2 linked regions of the Nothobranchius furzeri genome follow. The protein of the gene in region 1 interacts with the protein of each later gene in a pairwise test. Links are inferred from orthologs where the notes say so. Each region holds a gene or a part of one and is shown on either strand. Other genes may lie near its edges.

The links. The genes of interacting proteins can lie anywhere in the genome.
Region 2: the proteins of inpp5ka (region 1) and mad2l1bp interact in binary tests that used the Homo sapiens proteins (3 or more experiments, as listed by UniProt). The link is inferred for Nothobranchius furzeri from reciprocal best matches to the Homo sapiens genes INPP5K and MAD2L1BP.

Annotation. Positions count from the first base shown.
Region 1 is NC_091753.1:62,181,975-62,193,039, forward strand, and holds the start of inpp5ka (inositol polyphosphate 5-phosphatase Ka), read right to left. Parts: upstream 6,869-11,065; 5' UTR 6,645-6,868; coding exon 6,403-6,644; intron 5,838-6,402; coding exon 5,733-5,837; intron 5,656-5,732; coding exon 5,547-5,655; intron 5,473-5,546; coding exon 5,356-5,472; intron 5,015-5,355; coding exon 4,839-5,014; intron 3,376-4,838; coding exon 3,264-3,375; intron 3,165-3,263; coding exon 3,055-3,164; intron 2,967-3,054; coding exon 2,940-2,966; intron 1-2,939. UniProt on the Homo sapiens protein: Inositol 5-phosphatase which acts on inositol 1,4,5-trisphosphate, inositol 1,3,4,5-tetrakisphosphate, phosphatidylinositol 4,5-bisphosphate and phosphatidylinositol 3,4,5-trisphosphate.
Region 2 is NC_091752.1:313,849-324,632, forward strand, and holds mad2l1bp (MAD2L1-binding protein), read right to left. Parts: upstream 6,436-10,784; 5' UTR 6,395-6,435; coding exon 6,028-6,394; intron 4,412-6,027; coding exon 4,143-4,411; intron 4,054-4,142; coding exon 3,520-4,053; 3' UTR 3,417-3,519; downstream 1-3,416. Other genes in the region: ephx5 (epoxide hydrolase 1), read left to right, coding at 37-59, 154-373, 452-632, 709-918, 1,000-1,129, 1,404-1,615, 2,418-2,526, 2,598-2,723 and 1 more; uncharacterized protein kif16bb, read left to right, coding at 7,023-7,069, 7,141-7,204, 7,271-7,381, 7,490-7,606, 8,200-8,297. UniProt on the Homo sapiens protein: May function to silence the spindle checkpoint and allow mitosis to proceed through anaphase by binding MAD2L1 after it has become dissociated from the MAD2L1-CDC20 complex.

The sequences.
Region 1 (11,065 bases):
GGGCTGCACTTTAAAGAACTGATAATATCCCTGAATGAGACGGTGAAAACTTCCAGGGCCGCTTACTTTGCTCAGCTGATTGCTGTAAACAAAAATAACTCTAAAGTTCTGTTTGACACCATAAACCAGATTGTTTCTCCTCTCGCCCCTCTTATGCCAGTTTACACAAGGTCTGACTAACAAATTTCTAGCATTCTTTCAGAATAAAATCAGAAATATCACCCCTATCTAACCCCCTCCCTCTCAACCATGGTCTGTCTTTACTCCTGTAGATTTCCAGGTTTTTGCCTCATTCAGAAACACATGAAACCAACCTCATGCCCTGCTGGTTTCATTCCTGCTACCTTGTTAATCTGGATGTTTGACTAAACTGGCCCATGCACTGTAGATTTTATTCATTTATCCCAACAATCTGGCTCTGTAGCATCTGTTTTCAAACATGCAGTTATTGAACCCATCCTTAAAGAAACAAGTTTGGACTCATCTCAGCCTAAAAATGACAGACCCATTTCTAAATGACCCTTTATCTCCAAAATATTGGAAAAGGTTGTGGCAGATCAGCTGATTACTTTTCTGGAACTACACAACAGTTCTGATAAATCCAGTCTGGTTTTGGTAAAAAGTGTTCAACAGAAACAGCTTTGCTTAAAGTTTCCAGTGACATCATGATGGCTGCAGACAACGGGGAGTTCGCAGTGTTAGTACTGTTAGTTCTTTCTGCAGCTTTTGACTCTGTTGATCACAACACCTTCATTAACAGACTTGGTGACTCGGTGGGGATCTCTGGAACTGTTCTAGACTGGTTTAGATCGTACCTTTCTAACAGAAGTTACCGTGTCTGTAGAAACCAGATCATGTCAGATTCTACCCATCTGTTCTGTGGGGTACCCCAAGGCTCTGTTTTGGGTCCACTGTTGTTTCTGCTGTACACACACCCTCTTGGACAGATACTTGATTCTTTTCATAATGTCTCTTATCACCTATATGCAGATGACATTCAGCTGTACTGCTCCTTTAAGGATTCTGAGTTCTACAAACTGTCTGAGCTACAAGATTGTATGTCTCTTGAAGGTCACTCAACAACATTGGTCCAAAACAGTTTATATCATTTAAGAAATATCTCCAAACTGTGAAGGTTGGTGTCAAAACATGAACCTGAAATGGTTCTCCATGCCTTTATATCCTCCCGTCTAGATGACTGTAACACACTCTTCACGTTTTAACAAAAAAGTCCTTGACCGCCTTCAGTTGGTCCAGAACTCTGCAGCGAGGCTCCTAACTGGAGCAAACAGAAGAACTCACATCACTCCTATTCTGATGTCTCTGCACTGGTTACCCGTTTTAGAGTCCTGACTAGACCTTTCAGGGCTCTACGTGGTCGAGCTCCTCCCTACATTACTGAACTGTTAAAGCCTTATGCTCCAACCCGAGCCCTCAGGTCCACACACCAGAACCTTCTAGAAGTTCCAAAGACCAGATATAAAAGTCGAGGTGGTCGCTCCTTCCAGACTGTTTTGCCCCGACTCTGTAACGATCTTCCTTTATCCGTACGCAGCGTTGACAGTCTGGACACTTTTAAAAAAACAGCTAAAGACCCTTTTATTTAAAGCTGCTTTTACCTAAACCTTTTATTTTCTTATTTTTAGCTCAAATTTTTAATCTTTCATCTGTTTATGAAATTTTATGATGTTATGTCTTTATTTTTTCTGATGTTAATCTAATTCTGTTTCTAGAGCATTTTGATTTTATTTTGTTTTGATCTATGTGAAGCACTTTGTGATTCTCTGTCTGTGATAAGTGCTGTAGAAATAACATTTACTTACTACTTCCTTTAATGTTGTCTGTTTAATATGATCAAAGTCAGGTTGTATAAATCACAGGAGCAGCAGCTGCTAACAGATGTTCAGTTGTGCTACACCTAGATGTGGAAATGGTCATTTCAGATTATGATGAAACAGTGACCCCTAGTGGCAGTTAAAAAACGCCCCCGGTAAAATCCTGATACAAGAACCAGAACCTGTTAATGCCGTTGGACTTGCTGAAGGAAGTTCTCAGAGTTGTACAATTACATTTGTACAAAAACACTCAGGAAGCAGCAACATGCGTTCATGTCTCTTAACAATGTTCTAAAATAGCACAGCTATACATTTACTGTGGAGCTTTAAAAAACACAAAAAAATGAGAGAAGTGGTTCCCTCGCATTTGTCTACAACCGTCAGCCAATAACACAGCTCTGTCAAAAAAGCAACGATTGGACCGTCTGGTCGTGGGTCTCTCCGAACCACATCTCCCCTGGTCCTCCACTCATCACACACTCATGTATTTGGCAACACCACCGGTGTGAGAGGTTCTCCACTCAATAACAGCGGCCGAGTGGTTGCTACCACTTCAACTTTAGGACAAACTACCAGAGAAACTGCGGGCATCGAAAACGGCGACTGGTGTTAGCGCCACCTCGTTTCCTCTGGAAATGCAGGTTCTAATTTCAGGCGAACACAGCCAAGGGTTTTATAGCCGATGGGAGGAGTGAGTGTTCTGTGACCTCGTTTAAAAGCTAGCTTGTTTTGCTGATTTGCCATTGCAGCTTTAGTACATAGGACATATGAACACCCATATTTTATGTAGGGTCCCCGGACTCTAATGGACACCTTCACCAGCTGTAGGACACCCGTTAGCTGCCAGTCTGTAGACGAGCATTTTAGTCTTCGTGGGCAAAGCCAAGCTGAAGACTGGCTGTTAATCCTGCCTGCTTGTCCTTTTAGTTTTTAGCATGCTACCAGAATCCTGTTTTAGAAGCAGAAGCAGAACTAAGGCTTCACGCTAACGCCATCAGAGACTTCTGTTAGCCGAGGAGGAGGAAATGCACATGCTGAAGTCTTGTTAGGTAAAACAAATCTGGATGCTCATGTTAAGGGAGATGAATGTATTTCTGGTCTTACTACAAGTCAAACCATGTCCTGTAGAGGCTGTGGAGTTAAAACAGGTGAAAACATAAATAAACTCAGAGAAACAGAATTAAAAGACTCGGATTCCCAAAAAGATTCCAACTCTTACCTGCTGTCATAGGTGTCAGAGTTCAAGTCAAACTTGTACGTGGGCTGGAAGTCCAGCGGTCCTTCCTCAAAGTCCTGCAGCAACGCTTCTTTCTTCTTCAACATGATCAACTGAAAATGTCATCAAGCACACTTTCTCATGTTCATCAATCAGCGTTGATGAAGGACACCAGCATTCCTCCACTAACAAAAACACTCCAGAGGTCAAACCTGGTCATTGCTCCACAGCAGGCTGTAGGTCTGCTTGTTGATGCAGGAGCGGACAAAGTGCATGCCATGATCTTGTATCCTGAAGTTCAGATCTCCAAACCAGAACACCAGTCTGGACACAAAGACGAGAGAAGGATGAAAGGATTAAAAAAAGTTTCTTTTAAACGAACTGAACAAAGATGTGAGATGGGCACAACCAAACGGAAAAGGATGGAAATGAGCTTCTGCCTCAGGTGGAGTTCAGTTCAACTTCAGCACCAATTCACAACACAAGTCATCTCAAGAAGAAGAAGAAAATATCATGTCTATGGCGTCTCTCAAGATAAAAATCACGAGGCGCTTCACAAAAACAACAAATGTAAAAATATAAAAAGAATTTAGAAAATGGTTAAAATATATTTAAAATGAGCAAAAATAGACAATTGTGATTAAAAATGTAAAGAAAGAGAGAGAGTGAACAGGAAAGAGGGAAATCAGTGGATCCTGAGGAAGGTGGAATAGGTGGGGAGAGCAGAATAAAGAGAGAGAGGTGAAGAAGGTCAAAACAAAGCCAGCTTGAACAAGTGAGTCTTCAGCTGATTTTTAAAGGAGACCACTGAGTCCACTGATCTCAGGCTCAGGGGGAGAGAGGTCCAGAGTCTGGGGGCCACAGCAGCAGATGATCTGTCACCTTTGACCTTTAGCCTGGTGCTGCACAACCAGTAGGCTTTGATCACTGGACCTCAGGGACCTGCTGGGGGTGTAGGGACTGAGAAGATCACCAATGTAAGATGGTGCTTGTCCATGTAAGGCCCTATAGACCAGAACCAGGATCTTGAAATGAACCCTGAAGTTGACTGGCAGCCAGTGAAGCTGGAGGAGAAGCGGGGTGATGTGGGTGTGTTTGGAGGACTTGGTCAGAAGCCGAGCACAGGCGTTCTGAACCACCTGTAGACGGTTCAGGGAGGTTCTGCTCAGACACGTGAAAAGAGAGTTACAGTAGTCTAAGCGTGAGGAGATGAAGGTGTGGAGAACTGTCTCAAGTTCAGAGCGGGACAGAATGGGACTCAGCTTAGCAACGTTCCTGAGATGGAAGAAGGAAGAGCCAACAAGAGAACTGACATGAGAATCCAGGGTGAGAGCTGGGTCAAAGGTCACGCCAAGATTCCTGACAGAAGGTTTGGTGTGAGAAGCAAGCTGACCAAGAGAGTCTCTGACTTTGGGAACCAGCTTGTCTGGGGCACACATGAGGATCTCAGTCTTATCTTCATTCAGCTGAAGAAAGCTCCCACCATCCAGGCTTTGATAGAGTCTAAGCAGGTGTGGAACAGCTGCAGCTTAGACATCTCATGGGGCTCAAGGTGCTTTAGGAAGCAAAACATCCCAATTAAACCTACTAAACAGCGTTCACTTCATTATTCCAGTTAGGTAAGTCTTCCAGCTCTTCCCTCTCAGCTGGCCAGGGAATGTCAGAGTCCTTCAGATCGAGCAGCAGGACAGCTACGGCATTCCAAACGACTGACCAGAACGGGCGGACGTTCCAGCTTTTACTCCAACATCCATACAGAACAGTCTGAGTCTTGTGCGTGCTCTCACCTGTGATCAGATATTCTCGACGCCTTCTTACAGTCAAAGGTCTGCGAGTCCATGATGTACTCAAACTCATCCACTCTTTCTGTGGCATAGTTCATGTGAGCCGTCAGGTGGCAGTTGAGGAAGCAGACCATGTGACCATAAAGGGACAGGCGGATAGACACGCCACCTTTGTTACCCTGAAAACCAAACAAGAGACACACTCTGCAATGCTGTCGTCAGCTCTTAGGCTAAGCTACGTCCTGTTAGCATACAGACCAACTCACACACAGCTTTTGATTAAAACACCTCCTGCTTCTGTGCCTGAGGGAGGAACTCATAATCCGCACGTCTGATCAGCAGCCGCGGATCTTCAGAGGGACCAGCTTTTACTAATTGGTTTGGTTTTAATTTAATAAATAATGACAGAGGGCAATCTGCTCGAAAACGACGCCTGAGGTTGACCTTGAAAGGTAAAATCCTTGAGCAGAAAGAAGGTTGATCTCTCTCTCTCCCTCTCGTGTGTGTGTGTTCTGCTCACCCAGTAGCCAAAGATGCCTGTGCGTGTGTAGGTGGTCTGGATGTCTCTGATGAAGGGGACATGCTCCAGTTTAGAGAAGCAGAGCAGCACCAAACCCTGCATTCTGATAGAAGATACCTGAAACACAGATGCACACCTGAGACGACACACACAGAAACACACACTGATCGTGAGATGGTGTGTGTCCGTACCTTTACATAATTCAGCGGAGCTAAGGTGGACATCAACCGGTGAGTCCACGGGTCATCGAACATCATATCAGACACAAACCTCAGCAGTCCTGAGTAGACCTCCTGCAGACTGAACACACATCTGACCGTCAGGCCAGTCGCTGATGCAGGAGACACTTCTGGAGATAAAAAACAACTCGTCTGTACCCGATGACGTAGAGGTCGGCTCTTTTGGGTGAATTCAGGTGAAGAAGAGCAGCCACATCTTCTGGAGGATCAGCTGTGGCCACGTTCCACGTCACTAGGTGAAGCCTGTGAGACAGGGGGGGGGGGGGGGGGGGGGTTAAGCTGGAAAAGCTCAGATGAATCAACTGAAAATATACCAGCTAGATACTGCTGGTCTTCCTTCCTGACCGCCACCTGCTTTCAGGTAAACACCTCATTTCTCTGGTTGTTAAGAGCACCTACAAGAGTTACTGCAGCAGGGTTGTTCTGTTTCATACGACAGGATAATAAACGTCCATGATATGTGCACATATGTATATTACACAGCCATAGTCACATGGTTACAACCCATGTGCAGCACATTTGTTGCTGCGTTAGCTTTGGAACCAAAGCCTCTTCCACTTCAGAAAAAACAATAACAAGAAAATCCCTCCTGGGCGACAACGCTGTAACATGCAGCTCAGACTCAAACCCACATCCGTTAGACTAATGAACAACAGACTAAAGAGTCACGTCCACTGGAAGGCTCCAGAAGGCAATTACGAGGTTTGATCACAGTGTGATAGGACCAGTCTGGACACAGACACTGTCCAGAAGGAGACCGATTCTAGATTCAGCAGAAAGGCGAGTGAGAAGCTGCAGCATCCTCCACCTGAGTCGGTCCTTCTTTGGCTTGTTGGCTCGTCTCGAGCAGACCAGGAAGGCGCTGTCCAGGGTCCTGACCATTTTCTCATGCAGCTCAGTTTTGGGGTCCAGATCGTCCACACAGGTCATGAGCTGGCTGAGCTGATGGCACAGAGCCAGTTTACTTCCTGTTGACTGTGTGGCATCGGATGAAAGGGTGTTGCTGCGGACGCGTCCAACAGAACCCAACAGCCACCTGGCATCATCCATACCAGCTCAGGGTGTCACCTCCACTGGGTTCAGCTGCCTGCTTGAATACCACAGCCCTGAAGAGACCATTAGTTTATGAATGCGCTAGAGATCGCAAATAAAACAAGAAGCTGAGGCGCGGTAATCCTTTCCCGTGTGGAACCAGCTGGCTGAATGAGGAGACGAGAGTCCAGGCTCTGGGGTTCGGGAGGCAGAGTTTCAGAGCAACTGGGAAACTTGGACTCGTGTACTAAAATAGCTTCTAATCTGCTTGTGAAACATCTCAACAATAGGCCGGTTAAAAGTTGAGAAAATACCTTCCTCGTGTGAACGTAAAGGACTCTCTGTCCCGGGTGAGCTGCTGAGCTCATAACTGCTCTTTCTTCAGCCTGAACAGCAAGACTTTGTTCTTCTAGGGCAAATCCCATTCAGAGCTGCACCGTTAAGCAACATAATCCACCAGCTAGAATGCAGCAGTCTGGTAAACGCAGCACTGTGTTCAGTCCAGCAGCACATTCAGCTCCACAGGCAGATAATCAGGTTGTTCAGGAGCTTACAGGAAGGGACCTTTAACCCTAACCCTAACCTCTGACAAATGCGGACGATGTAAAGCGTGTTTTACGATCAGACAAACAGGTGACTGTTCAGAAATACATGTATATGTAAACTAAATCTAAATACACACAGATCTGCTACTACTTTGGCTCAGACAGATGAGTTAAAGCTTCTGATGCGTTCAGGTGATCCAAAGAAGAAAAACTGCTGAGCTGGTGACTCGGTTACTGATGAATACAGCAAAGGAGACGGACTGGTCCACTGTTCTCAAGTTGCTGAGAAGAAATAGTGTTGTCCATCCATCCACTACCTAAACTGTGTTATCCTCACTAGGGTTGTAGATCCTGACAAAAATGAGATACAGTTTGTGAAGCGCAGCTGTGGTTTGTGTCCTTTAAAGAGAAACTGACAAATAATTCACAAACGGCTCAATAAACAAACAACCTGAGGTTCTGTCTTGGTCTCAACAAGAACCCATTATAAACCCTTATTTCTTTTTATTTTAGGGTTAGGGTTAGGGTTAGGGTTAACCCTTGTCCCTCAACCCAAATCCTCGGATCACGCATTTTAGCTAAAACGCTAACGTTAGCTTGCCTTGCGTTGACTGTAGAGTTGTGGGTGATGGTCACGCAGATGTGTCATGAGATTTGAAGCGTTGCTGCCTTTCACAGACACTTTTTCTGCACGTGCTGCAAACAGGATAGCCGTCTTCTATCAACTGTCCCTCGGCATTCTTCACATATCCAAAAGATGCCCGTACTTCCCACTTTGTCTTCTTTGAGGGATAACAAATGTCCTGAGCGCTGCCGTCTCCTCCTTTGGCCATTATTTCAGCTTTAGCTTCAAGAAAGTTTTGGTTGTAAACAACAAAGCGCGCATGTGCCGCCGGCAACTTCAGCAGATGATACGGTGGCTGGTAAGGGTCACCGCGCCTACACCGCAGCCACAGTAATCCCACCAAGATAATATAGTTCTTTAAAAACAAGACGGTTATTATTATTGTCAACTTTTTTTTTTACCGGGGTTTAACGCTACACCGGTTACCGTGACAACCCTACCTGATCGGTCTGCTTTGATCTATTTTGAAAACTCCACTCAAAACCGATAGGGGCGCTATCGGCCGATTGGGATCAAATGCCGATCCATCGGTGCATCCCTAGCCGGAAGGGAAAAAGAAGGAACACACACATATAAAGGAATCACTTAAAACATGTGGCTATCCTAATTGGGCGTTTATAAAGTCAGCAAAGATGCACAGAAAAGAAGACCAGACACCAGCGAGGGAGGATAAGAAAGACAGACGCAACAACCTGGTCATCCCCTATGTAGCCGGTGTATCAGAGAAACTCAGGAGGGTTTTCTCCAAACACAACATACCAGTGTACTTCAGGCCCAGCAACACACTCAGACAGAACCTGGTTCACCCGAAAGACAAAACTCCTAAACACAAACTGAACAATGTGGTGTATGCTGTACAGTGCAGCGAGGAATGCCCAGACCTCTACATCGGAGAAACCAAACAGCCACTTCACAAGCGCATGGCACAACATAGAAGAGCCACCTCCACGGGACAGGACTCGGCAGTTCATTTGCATCTAAAGGACAAAGGTCACTCTTTCGAGGATGCCAACGTTCACATTTTGGACAGAGAGGACAGATGGTTTGAAAGAGGAGTAAAGGAAGCCATTTATGTCCACTGTGAGCAACCATCTTTGAACAGAGGCGGTGGTTTACGACACCAACTGTCTGCCATCTATAATCCAGTTTTGAGATCCCTTCCCAGATGCCTCAACGCCCACGCATATCCTGGGCCATCTGACCTCAGGAATTCACATGATAGGGTGGGGCCAGGCTTCACAATGAGCTCACCCGAAACTCTGGCTGAATAGGACCCACACCCACCCTCACACCTGGGCTCATGTGTTTATGTAGAAGATCATCAGGGGGTCTTTTGTTCCCTCTTCGGGGGGAAACTCCCACTGGGATTAAATCTGGGACTCTCCACCATTTGACCTTAGAACTGAAGAAGCCTCTCGGATGAGAGGTGAAACGTCTTCAAGCAACTCAAAGAAGTCCAGACGCTTTTCTTTCAAAGCTCCTTAAGGTTGGTTTATGCTTGACGCGTCCGCGAGGTCCGCACGGCTCCGCGTGGAAAAGTTGCGTCATTTTAACAACCACGCCCCTCCACCGCGTCTCCGCACGGCCCAAGATTTCCGCAACGCGCACCTCGGAAAATTTCTAACCACGCGGACGGACGGACGCGGAAAAACATGGCGGACTGGCAAGAACTAGTATGGCAGAGGTTGGTAAATACAGACATTTGTATGATTCAGCTCTCAGAGATCACCGTGATCAACATGTTGTTAATAATTCTTGGAGAGAAATAGCTCGCACTGTCGGAAAAGACGAGGACGCTGTTAAAAATGCTGGAATGCCATGTTGTAAACAGTCATTTCTACTTCTACTATGGTGTAGTGTTGGATGCATGCCGTAGAGCTCCATGCTGCCCCCTACAGTTTGGGAGAATATTGGCTCGCCGCAGAGACGAGCCGCACGAACCATAAACGCTGCGAGTTGTGAAGCGCGTTCCATCCGCGAGCCGCATCACCAAGCGGAAAGTGAACGCATCAAGCATAAACCAAGCTTTAGACTACAATGACCTGGATGACTGAGAACCTTCACAGACAGTGATATAAAAATTTCATATTTTACTGAAAAAACTATAGCGCCTAAAGGGTTAAGTAATCGTGAGTTAGTGGATGACTGTCTACCCTTGATGAAACCAGTTTGGTCAGGGTGTATTATGAAGGGGTTGCCTTCTCTAATCTTTTTGCCAGGGCTTTACAAATTATTTTGAGATCAACATTAATGAGAAATTGGGCGATAGCTGGTCGGTCTTATAAACCCTTATTTCTACCTGTAGCTCTGTCCCTGGATCCTAAATCACAAAAACAGTAAAATAAAGGTTCGAGTACTTCATTCCGTGTTAGACACGGAGGGAGCATCCTACCGGAAGTCTTGCCTCTCGCTGTGGTCCTTCTCCATCCTCAGCTGTGACGGATGATGGGGGTCTGACTGCTCCTCACTCTCCCCATCACCTGCACACCTGCTGGGATAACAGCTACAAAACAGAGACATGCGATAGGCGAGTTACCCGCAGTAAGTCTCTGTTTCCGGTAAACTAGATACTTAAACCACTACCAGTTGCTATTCTCGTAGCTCTGGTGACTCAGTGCTAGTCGGCGCATTGCGCAGCAAACCAAACCAAACTTCTCCTTGTTTTAAACTCCAAAAACCCACAAAGGCTAAACATTAGCGAGGAGCTTCATCACACACTACCTGGCGAGCTTTAGTAGGACTTCTTTAGTAGTTTTATTCACTTAAGCAGACGTACAGTAGCACTGCAGCCGCTGCTACAGGAGTACAGTAGCTTGCGTTGTTCCCGCCCCGGATCCGGAAGACAATCTTTGTGCTTTCAAAATAAAAACTTATACACAGACGTAAATTTCAGACGTTAATGTAGTTGAAACCGTAAAAAATGTATATAAAACCGTAAAAAATGTATATAAAACCGTAAAAAATGTATATGAAACCGTAAAAAATGTATATGAAACCGTAAAAATGTATATGAAACCGTAAAAAATGTATATGAAACCGTAAAAAATGTATATGAAACCGTAAAAATATGTATATGAAACCATAAAAAATGTATATGGAAACGTAAAAAACTATAATCTATGCTAAAAGCAGTGGACCATAAACACACAACAGAAAAAATGGTATCAGCGTTATTTGCTAGACGTAATTTAGATACATTGCATCAAGAAAAACGTGCTCAGACGTTGAGTAGGTAGTTTTTTTTTTTACAAGATTGTCACAAATGAGTG
Region 2 (10,784 bases), on another chromosome or scaffold:
AGAAACCTGAGCACGCGCACGTTTTGACCCTTCACAATGCAGAGACTGCAGCTTTTAAAGTAACAAATCCTTGCGGTGTTTTATGTTGATATGAAAAGTAAAAGTTTGATCTCATTATTTGATTTTCTGGACCCCCCCCCCCCCCCCCTGCAGGGACACTTTCTTTGGCCTGGATGTTGTCCAGCAGCAACTCCTTATCGGGTCTGCTGTGGCCTTGGCGGCAGGTGGAATTCTGGCATATGTCATGCAGAGGAGGAACAAAGCCAGATCTATCCCTCTTGGTGAAGGATGGTGGGGAGCAGGAGAGAAGACTCTCTCGGAGGATCACACGATCTACCCCTTTTCAGTGAAAACCTCAGATGAAGAGATTAAGGTGCTTGCAAAATACCAACCCAGTTTCTAACAACAGCAGCTTTAGTGTGAAGGAATCAGCTGTTATCTTGTTGAACAGGACCTCCATCGGCGCATCGACAGCTTCCGCTTCTCAGATCCTTTAGAAGACTGCGGCTTCAATTATGGCTTTAACTCCACTTACCTTAAGAAAGTGGTTTCGTACTGGAGGAATGAGTTTGACTGGAAAAAGCAGGTGGCGATGCTGAACAAGTATTCACACTTTAGAACCAAAATAGAAGGTACACACAGCTCCACGGGGTTCAAACGGGTTAGATTCAATGTTTTCTCTTGTAAAAACTTTTTCTGGTGCTGCAGGACTGGATGTGCACTTCATTCACGTGCGCCAGGCAGTCCGAGGGGACCAGAAGGTTCTGCCACTCATGCTCGTTCACGGCTGGCCCGGCTCTTTCTACGAGTTCTACAAGATTCTGCCCCTCCTCACCCAGAGCCAGGATGGAGTTGCATTTGAGGTCGTAATCCCCTCAATCCCTGGTTATGGCTTCTCAGAAGCCCCTTACAAACAAGGTAATTATGAATAACGTGTGCACACGTCTGCTTCTGCGGACAGCTGATGTTTTAGCAGTGTGCTTCCTGCTTCCTTTCCAGGATTTAACAGTCTGGCTGTTGCTCGGATTTTCCTGACACTCATGGAGCGCTTGGGCTTTTCCCAGTTCTATGTGCAAGGAGGAGACTGGGGCTCGCTTATCACCACCAACATGGCACAGATGAAGCCTGAGTAAGCACAAAACCAGCTTATTAGAAACCATGTTGCACATCGGCATGGCTGAGAAAGTTCCCTCAACTAAGCTGTTGGTGAAAGAGCTCATTGTAGCGTTCCTCAGCTGTGGAACCATGCTTCCACTGTGTGCAGATGATTACGAAGTCATGACAGCACAGATTCCCGAAGAACGGAGCTGATAACATTGTCCTGCCACAAGATCACATTTACAGCAGTAATTATGAGTCAGGAACCCAGAAAGCAGCTGTTTCACAATACTTCTGTTTTCCAGCTGTGTGAAAGGTCTCCACCTGAACATGTGCATGTCAACACGGGGGTTCAAAGTGCTGCTGTCTTTGATCATCGGCCCCTATCTGCCCTTCCTGGTGGGCTTTAGTCGGGAAGATGTTCGCCGGCTGTTCCCTTTCTTTGAGAAGAATGTCTGGGAAGTACTGAGGGAGAGTGGCTACCTTCACATTCAGGCCACCAAGCCAGATACTGCAGGTGAGGCTGTGAGACGGGCTCAAGACGACTTTTCTTATTTTCACAATTTAAAGGTGGGGCAGATGTTTGTGGAGCTTTTTTGCCATAATTGCTCTTCACATATTGACTTTAATCGCTTCTGAAACGTACAATCCTGGAAAAACCTCAACCAATCACTGTGACTGTCCCGTTGTAAAGGATGGGATCGTGATCCATCAAACTGCCCTCTGCACACTCCTCTTTCAGCTTGGAGCTCACGGACAGGAAAAGAAGCCAGGGCCGGGCTAGCTAGTGTGTCGAGTGGAAGTTTCCATTCAGGTTACAGTTCAGTTTAGTCTGCTTCTGCTGAGAAAGATTCAGGTGACAGGCTCGTCTGAGCGCAGCCTGTCCCGTCGACTGGCGGAGCCGTCGGTCACTTACCTCGGCTACGAGCACGCATTAAAAGCCGGCATGACAAAACAAAAGAGCGATTGGGAGGAGGATGTGGAGTTTTCCCAGATTCTTGGTGATAGTTTGCTGCAATGAAGCTAAAACTGTCACCATAAAAACTCCCCATTATGTTAGCCATCATACGTACTTGTTATATAGTTATGTAGGCGCCATATTAGAAATATGGCAGAAAAGGAGCCAATAGCAGTTCAAAAACATACAACTGATTCCTCAGGAACAAGTATGTGTGTTGCTTTGTCCTAAAGGCTCAGCTTAGAGGAAACACCTGAGGATGTTGGACCTTTAGAATTGTTTATTTTTAAAGTTGTTGCTTGACTGGCAAGAAAAACATCCTCATATCCGACCTACGAGTGATTTCCTTCTGTGTTTGCAGGCTGTGGGCTAAACGACTCCCCCGTGGGCTTGGCAGCCTACATTCTGGAGAAGTTTTCCACCTGGACTAAAAAGACGAACAGAGACCTGGTTGATGGTGGGCTGGAGAGGTACTAAAGATAGACATGCTTTAGTCAGTTGCTGCCCTCTGTTATGAACTAGAAATGTCTTTTTTGTACAGAAAGTTCAGCCTGGATGACCTTTTGACAAACGTCATGATCTACTGGACCACAGGCTCCATCGTCTCCTCCATGCGCTTCTACAAAGAGAACTTTAAGACCAACCCAGAGAGCCGAATCGATGCAAAGTAGGAGACCAAATGCTCACATCAATTTTAATCTCATTTTATAATTTCTCTAACGATCCCACCTTTTGCTTCAGGACGGGAATATTTGTGCCCACCGGTCTGGCCGCGTTCCCTCAGGAGCTGATGCACTGCCCCAAGTCGTGGGCACAGATTAGGTATCGAAACATCTGTTCCTACACGTTCATGCCAGCAGGTGGCCACTTTGCCGCCTTCGAAGAGCCCCGGCTGCTTGCGGATGACATTTTCCAGTTTGTTAAAAAAGTAGAGAAGCTCTGAAGACTTAAGCGTACTCCCGGTTTCATGCAGGTGTTTTAGTATTTTATTATACCTGATAGTCTGTACACCACATACACATCTTTTTTGTTCCTTTCCACGCCGCGAGTCTTATCGCTTGATTTACCACATTATTGCAAAGATGTAAACATGAACCAGACCTCGGCTCACCACTGTTCCCTTATGACTGAGGAAAGCTTTGTAATTGTTCAAGTTCTGTTCAGTAAAGGTATATTGCACTGACGTTTGTGTTGCTGCTCTTTTTCTACACCAGAAAAGTAATTCTCTAGAAATATAAACACAATCGCCCACCAGTCATGCCTCTTTAGGAAGCTTTCGCTCTGCATCAGAAGCTTTAAAAGGTAAGACACCACGACGGTCTGATGTAGATCTGCGTGACTTGAAACAGACAGAAAACGCACATGCACAGCTAAGTTTAATACTTAATTTGAACGCCCAATAAATTTGACCAGATTACACTTCTGGAGCGGTGATCCAAGATCAGACAACACACTGCTTAACTTTAAGGGTCGGTTGCTAAGCCCTTAATGGTCATTGGTGCTTGGAACCACACGTAATCCTGCCAGTCTGATCCGTCTGCCTTTAGCTTCTTACAGGCGCCGGGGTCAGTAGACAGGGCAATCACTTGCTTTTTTACCCGCGTTGGGACTTTAAACTGCATCTTAGGGCGGAACCAGTCCACACCACAATCCCTGTGGGCCAGCGCCAACACTGTGGTGGGCATTAAGCGAACGGGTTTGGTGTCGGACAAAAGGTCGGCGACAAAAAGAGTGCGGAACAGTTGCCTTAAGCATGACGACACTCGTAGAGGCTGACTTCCATCGGCCAGTACCAGGGCCTCCATGTTGATCTCGTATATCTCCTTGGGGAGGATGACCGAGCTGCCCATCAGCAGTAAAACACGGGGGATCCTGCTCAAGGAAAACAGCACCTCCAGTCGCTGCAGCACCTCCTCCATCTCCTGGAGAGTCTGATGGCATTTACGCCGGTCCTTATTGGCAGACTGTGCGAGCCTCCGACTCACTGCATCTTTATCCTGGGAAGCAGAACGTCCCAAGCACTGTTGGTTAATCTCAAATCTACAATAAATTCACCTGACAGTGAGACATTACATTTATGTATTACCTGTGCCGTAGTATGCAGCTTCTTCTGGGAATAGACCAGCTGGTCGTATGTCATGGGTAGCTGTTGTCTCTGATAGAGAATGCATTTGAGGATTTCGCTGACGAAACGATAGCAGCTGTTCTGAGTTACGGCTCCAGGGAAGGCCACGTCCACACAGCCTTCTTCCCGTGCTCGTCTCACCACCTCGGCATCATTTTCCTCTGTGTTAACTTGCTGATTGTTGGCAGTCTGATCGAAATCCGGCTCAGAAGGGTCCTCTTGTGCATTATCTGTCCAGAACCAGAATAAAGTTATTACAGAGCGTAATGGACCCGTCACGGTCAACGTTAATGAAATGTATCAGAGCCATTATTCAGATAAACCTGATGAGCTCACTCGTCTCAAAAACTAACATGAGGAGTGAAATCAGGCTGTGGAGGAAGATTACTTTTGATTCTAATCAGATCAAATCACTTACAGAGTCGCATCTTATTGAGATTTATGAGACCTGTGCTTCAGCAGGACTCAAATCTTTTAAATCACACAATCACAAGACCCAACACACCACCACATTGTGCTGACTCATCTCCACTAAGGGAGTTGATCTTAAATGCTGAACTCTTTCTGCAACCAGTGTCAGAAATGTGTACGAGTGTCCTTCCTTTAACTTACTCCAGTCAGGAGGAGCAGAGTCATGCAGCGGGACACCTTTAAACCCCACAGGAAGTGCTGTGTCAGCCATGAAAAAGGAGTTACATCAATGTGACAGATTTCAAAAGAATCTGCATGAGCAATTTTCAATCCTCTTTGTGGCTTTTGAGTCACAAATGTTTCCAAATGCGATTCAAGGAAAAATGGTGCAAGATGTTTGTTTTTGCTACTAAAAAGTCAAGATGAATATGCAAATGTTAACATTTAACAAGTCACATTTAACTGAGTTTTGCAATTGTGGTTTGCAATGCACGTGGCAATTTTTTCCTAAATAAAATGTTGAACTGCATCACATGACACAATTAAAAATCTGATATTTAATTCTTAGTAAAAAATGTGCAAAAAAGTTTTTTAGATTTGAAAACTGACCATCTGTTGGTAAATATCCTTACAATTTTTGGCATCTTTAAAAGTAAACCAGGAATCTAAAAACCACATTTTAGCAAAAACAACATCTTACAATAAATGCATTATTTATTTCTTCATTTAAATAATTCCAAAGTTTACATAAAAGGAAAACTAGGTCCACTAATTCTTGATGTTGACTCTTTTCTCTAGTTTTATTTTTAACATTTAGGTAACCAATAATGAAAAGAGCCTTAAATGAACATAAATGCGTCAGGTGTAACCACGCAGACTGATGGATGACACGTAAGCTGAGGTAATGCAAATTAAAGAGAAAGAACATTGCAAACACAGCTTAAGGGACTTTTGAGGTAAACATCTTATTTCAAATGAGACGATCCTTAAAAATAATCTAACTACAACAACCGTGCTGAAAATTCAACGGTTCTACTTGGTGCTTCTCATGTTGTAGTTTTAATATTTAACCCTAACCCTAACTGGTTTAGTGAAATAATCATACTTTAACAACTTGTATCTTTCTAAACATCTTGTTTTATGTTTCTCTTGTTCTGAAATTACCCGATCCATCTAGCCGTGATCACATGTATATTTTATTGGCGTTATTGGGCACATCTAATGTGGTCAGTTGCATTTAGTTTTGTCCACAAGCAATAATTTGAAATATTATGTTGACATCTGACATCATCAGGCGTTACCTACTGATCAAACTGACCGGCACAAGCTTATTTTAAGTTGATCAGGAAACAGTTTGGGTATGAAACCAAATATAGCTGCACATTAGCCTAAACGGATCAAAAGCAGGAAAGTAAGCTAACTCTATGCTACCTGCCTTGAGACGTGGTTGTGGGAACAGCAGCATTTTCTTTGGCTTCAGTAGAACTCCCTCTGCGTTGTTCTGGACACTCTTCTCTTATTTTACCATCATTTTTCGTCTCTGAACATGTGTCGCTGGCATCAGACGGGAGTCGTTCAGCTCTTCCCTCTGGCTGGCTCCATGAACTGGAGACGTTGGAGACACTTTCCGCACTGCCGCCTAAAGGCGTTATTTCGGGTTCTCCATCAACGCTAACATCCTTCTGTGGTGAAAACGAGAGCCGTCCCTTTATCCCGCCACCCGTGGTGTCAACAGCGGTCTCCGTTTCTGTGGCCGCCGCCGAGACTGATGTAGGTTTTGAACAAGTAGAATTATCTGCCATGTTTTATTTTTGAAAGTCCGCGCCGGTGTTTTCTCGCACTGCATCATGGGAAATCCAATAGATGTCGCATTCAAGCTACGTAGCACAAAATCGGAAAAAATAAGCTTCCCAACGCCACTCTGGTGTTCTTACAATAATTTAACTATTCTTGTTTCATTTATTTTACTTCTCAAGAAACGATTTATATCATCATCATATTTTGGGTTCACACAAAACGTTTGTTGTTATTTGACAGCCCTTCTGTTTCTGGTAGCAGCTGCAAGGACTTATAATGCCTTTTTAACCTATGAATTGTGAATGCAGGACATTTCAGATATTTGTTTTTTGCACACTACAGATTCAACCACGTGTAATATTACCAAACGACAGTTTCGTCAATTGGAAACCAAACGTTTTTGTTATAAGTAAATATTTATGAAGTGATGTATTGTCTGATCTTGCCCAAGGCACATTTAAACGGAGAACGTGCTTGAGACACCCTCTAGTGGACAGTTTATGCACTGCATCGACAACGTGAGGATCAGTTCCAGGTGTGATGATTAGATTAGGTGGTAACAAACAAGGACAAGGTTTGCTTAAAACTCTAGCAACGGGACGTTGGCTCTTCGTCTGTCTGGTTTGATTAATAATGTCTTCAGTTCAGGTCGCGGTGAGAGTGCGCCCTTTGAACAAAAGGTCAGTAGAACAGAGTGACTTATTATTTTAACAGGAAAACAGAAAACAAACTTTTGCACGGCTTGTTGCAGAGAAAAACAGTTGTCATCAAAGGTGATTGTGCATATGAAGGAGAACACCGCATCCATTCATAAGGTAGGCTAGACCGTCACAGAATGAATTCTACTTGAGTTCATTTGAGTGATTTTTTTTTTATTTCAGCCTTCTTCTTTACGTGGAGACAAGTTGAAGGACAGAGGCAAAATCTTTTCTTTTGACTTCTCTTTTGACTCAACTGACAGTAAAAGCTCCACGTTTGCTTCCCAGGAGAAGGTGCTGTCTGTGTTTCATCTGTTTAACTCTTATTTGCACCAGTGTTGAACCACTTCTTGCATTTTATTTCTATAAATGTGTAAAATGGATATTTTACACCTGTTTCAGATTTTCCAGGACTTGGGATCTGATGTAATAAAAGCAGCTTTTGAAGGTTTCAACGTCTGCTTGTTTGCATATGGCCAAACGGGCTCAGGGAAAACTTACACCATGATGGGACATAAGGTAAGTAAAATACTTGCAATATGCATGCTGAACACTGCAGCGTAACGGCAATATTTACGACTTCACAACAATCAGTGCTGTATGCATACCTCTTCTATTATACCTCCGTCTTTACTCTGCATGTGATGACCTCTTGCCACTTTGGACCCCAACTGAATGCTGCCTCATTAGACTAGCTTGTTCTTCCTCACTAGTCAGAATTTTTGATGAGTGCAGCAACACACACACACACACACACTGCACTAGGGATTTTACACTAGGAGGTTTCTGCTTGGGGGACTTGTGCAAGGTCATCAGCAGAGTTGCTGTCAACATCAGAGATAATTATATAACTTAATGCTTACTGTCTGTTACTTTGTAATTAAAAACAAGAGGACGTACTGCTCCGGCTGGGATTGCTTTTATGCTTCACTACCTCCACAGCTGATGAGCTGCTGTTGTTCAGCGGTCTGTGTGTGTGCTGAGTCGTGGTTATGGCATGGTGTAGACAACCAGATTAACTGAAGTATAATAGGATCGAAATGTAATTGTCATTTCAGTGCGAGCTTCGTCTATTTCAGCGGGTGTAAAGGCAGATGTCTTCTCAATTTTAGGTGGATAAAGGTTTAATTCCACGGATCTGTGAGGGCTTGTTCTTGGAGTTATCCAACAGAAGCAAAACTGAGACTGTCTCATTTCACACGGAGGTCAGGTAAGGCCGTATTATCGTTGCCTTCTGTTCAGCATTCGTTGCTTCTTCAAACCTGTTGTGGTGATCAGTTTCAGTGGATATTCAACACATTTATGGAAGGATCCGTCCATCCATTTTCGTCCGCTTACTCATGGTTGGGTCCCGGAGGAATTGGCCTAAGCAGGAGGCCCGGACCTCCCTCTCACCAGCCACTTGGATCAGCTCCTCTGGGGAAATCCCAAGACGTTCCCTGGCCACCTGAGGCATAGTTCCTCTAGCGTGTCCGAGTCTTCCTTTGGGTCTTCTCCCAGTAGAATGTGGCTGGAAAACTTCACCAGGAGGCCTCTTAACCAGATGGCCCAGCCACCTCAACTGGCTCCTCTCTGTGGAGGAGCAGCAGGTCTACTCCAAGCCCCTCCCGGATGACTGAGCTTCTCACCGCTCGTATCCACAATCTCGTTCTTTCAGTCACTACCCAAAGCTCGTGACCACATTCAGAGTGGGAACGTAGCTCGACCGGTAAATCAAGAGCTTAGTCTTCCGGCTCGGCTCTCTCCACCACAGCAGATCGGTACAACGCCCGCATCACTGCAGACGCCGCACCAATCCGCCTATCGATCTCCCGCTCCATCTTTCCCTCACTCGTGAACAAGACTCTAAAATACTTAAACTCCTCCACTTGAGGCAGGACCTCATCCCTGGCCTGGAGAAGGAATTCTACCCTTTTCCGACTTGTGGGCGGATGTGAAACGATAAATTTAATGTCCCATATTTAGTTTTGTACATAAAGAAACGATAAAACCCTCAGAATAGTGCAATGTTCACAAGAGGCATCAAATCAGTATTTATTTACTAAAATGACATATTTAATCGTAGCCAGAAGAATCAGACGTGATGAAGGCACGTTTGCCATACATGGAGAACTCTTCAGAGGTTTACCGGCCAGGATTACATGCAGCCTGTGCGCTGGGCCCAGACACATGGGCAGTCACATTTTTTAGCTGTTTAATGAAACTTTAACTATGTGGTTGTTTAATCTCCACCCTGTTCTAACATGACGCTAAATCAGAGCTGATCTGGACTGTTTGCCCTAAACGATCTGTGAACTTCTGAGAAAATCTGAAGATTTAACCTGTAAAGAGTTCAGCCCTCTGGACGAGGAAGAAAAAATGTTCATGCACAACACATCACTTACCGCACACAGCACCTGTTTCTACAGAGAAAACCAATTCATGATGCCGTCATCTCCCCCACACTTCAGCCCCATGAAATATTTACAGAACGCTGTGAAAAGGTAAATCTAAGACAAGGATGTCATTTCTGAAGCAAGACCTGAATCTTCAAATAAAAGGTAGACGGGAACATTTCACCAAGCTGGCTGAGACTGAACGGTGTAAAAGCAAGGCTGCCTGACCCATTACTACCACTACTACCACTACTGCTTTCCTAATTGTTCAGATAAAATTTTTTGACAAATTTGATGCCTTTGATAATTTAGTTCAGTGCTAAATAAGGTACTTTGTCTATATTGGCTTCATCTTTTAATAAAATTTAAACTATTTTAAGATGTTTAATACAAACATTGAATTGTCTTCAGTTTTATAAAAAAAGGGGGAAATTCAAATTAAAGTTGTTCCTTAAACTAATTTATTACGGCAAAAATCACCTCTTAGGTTAAAAGCTGGAATTTTTAAAGCAACACACATATTTACTAGGTCTCTAAGACCCGGTTTCCACATATGTGGACGTTGATGTCCTTCACTAAACTTTTTTTATTTTTAGAGGAACTTTATTGACTTAAAGAAAAAACATTTTAAAGCTTAAATTTTTTTCCAGACGTTTACAGCAACTTGGAGCGGCCACCCACACAAAATAAATTGGAGCGATATCACGTTCTAACATAGCTTTATAATTTTCACATTAGTACAATGTACTATCGCGTTCTAACAATATAATATTTATATTGTATAAATGTGATTATTATAATATTGGAACAATAAAGCAAATGTGATATTACTCCAATTTTATTTTGCATGGGTGGCCGCTCTACGCGGCTGCAGAAGTTTGTCAAAATTAAGATAAAAAAAACGTTTTTGCATGTTTATGAGAGTCGACTAATCTGTAATGCCTACAAGTGTTTTTTCTTAACGCACACCAAATACAAATTCGGGACTTGGGAGGTAAAATAAAACAAATGAACACCCATGCAAACGTTATTGCTTCTCCCAGACATTTGCAGGCTTATATTTTTATTTGTGGTATAATTTAAGCATGTACGTTTATTTATTTAATTTTCCTGATCTTTGTTTCCTAACATTCACAAAAAGTCAGTAAAAACCCTATTTTAATCCTGATTGAGTTCTCAACAGTGTTGGAAACATCCATAATGATGCATGCATGGCTACATCCACCAGATGCATTTCTTTGTTTACGCCGTTAATTCTTGCACGGTCCTAATGCCTAATTGTTTGATTCCTTTCATTGTTTCTGAATTTGTGACTCTGATTT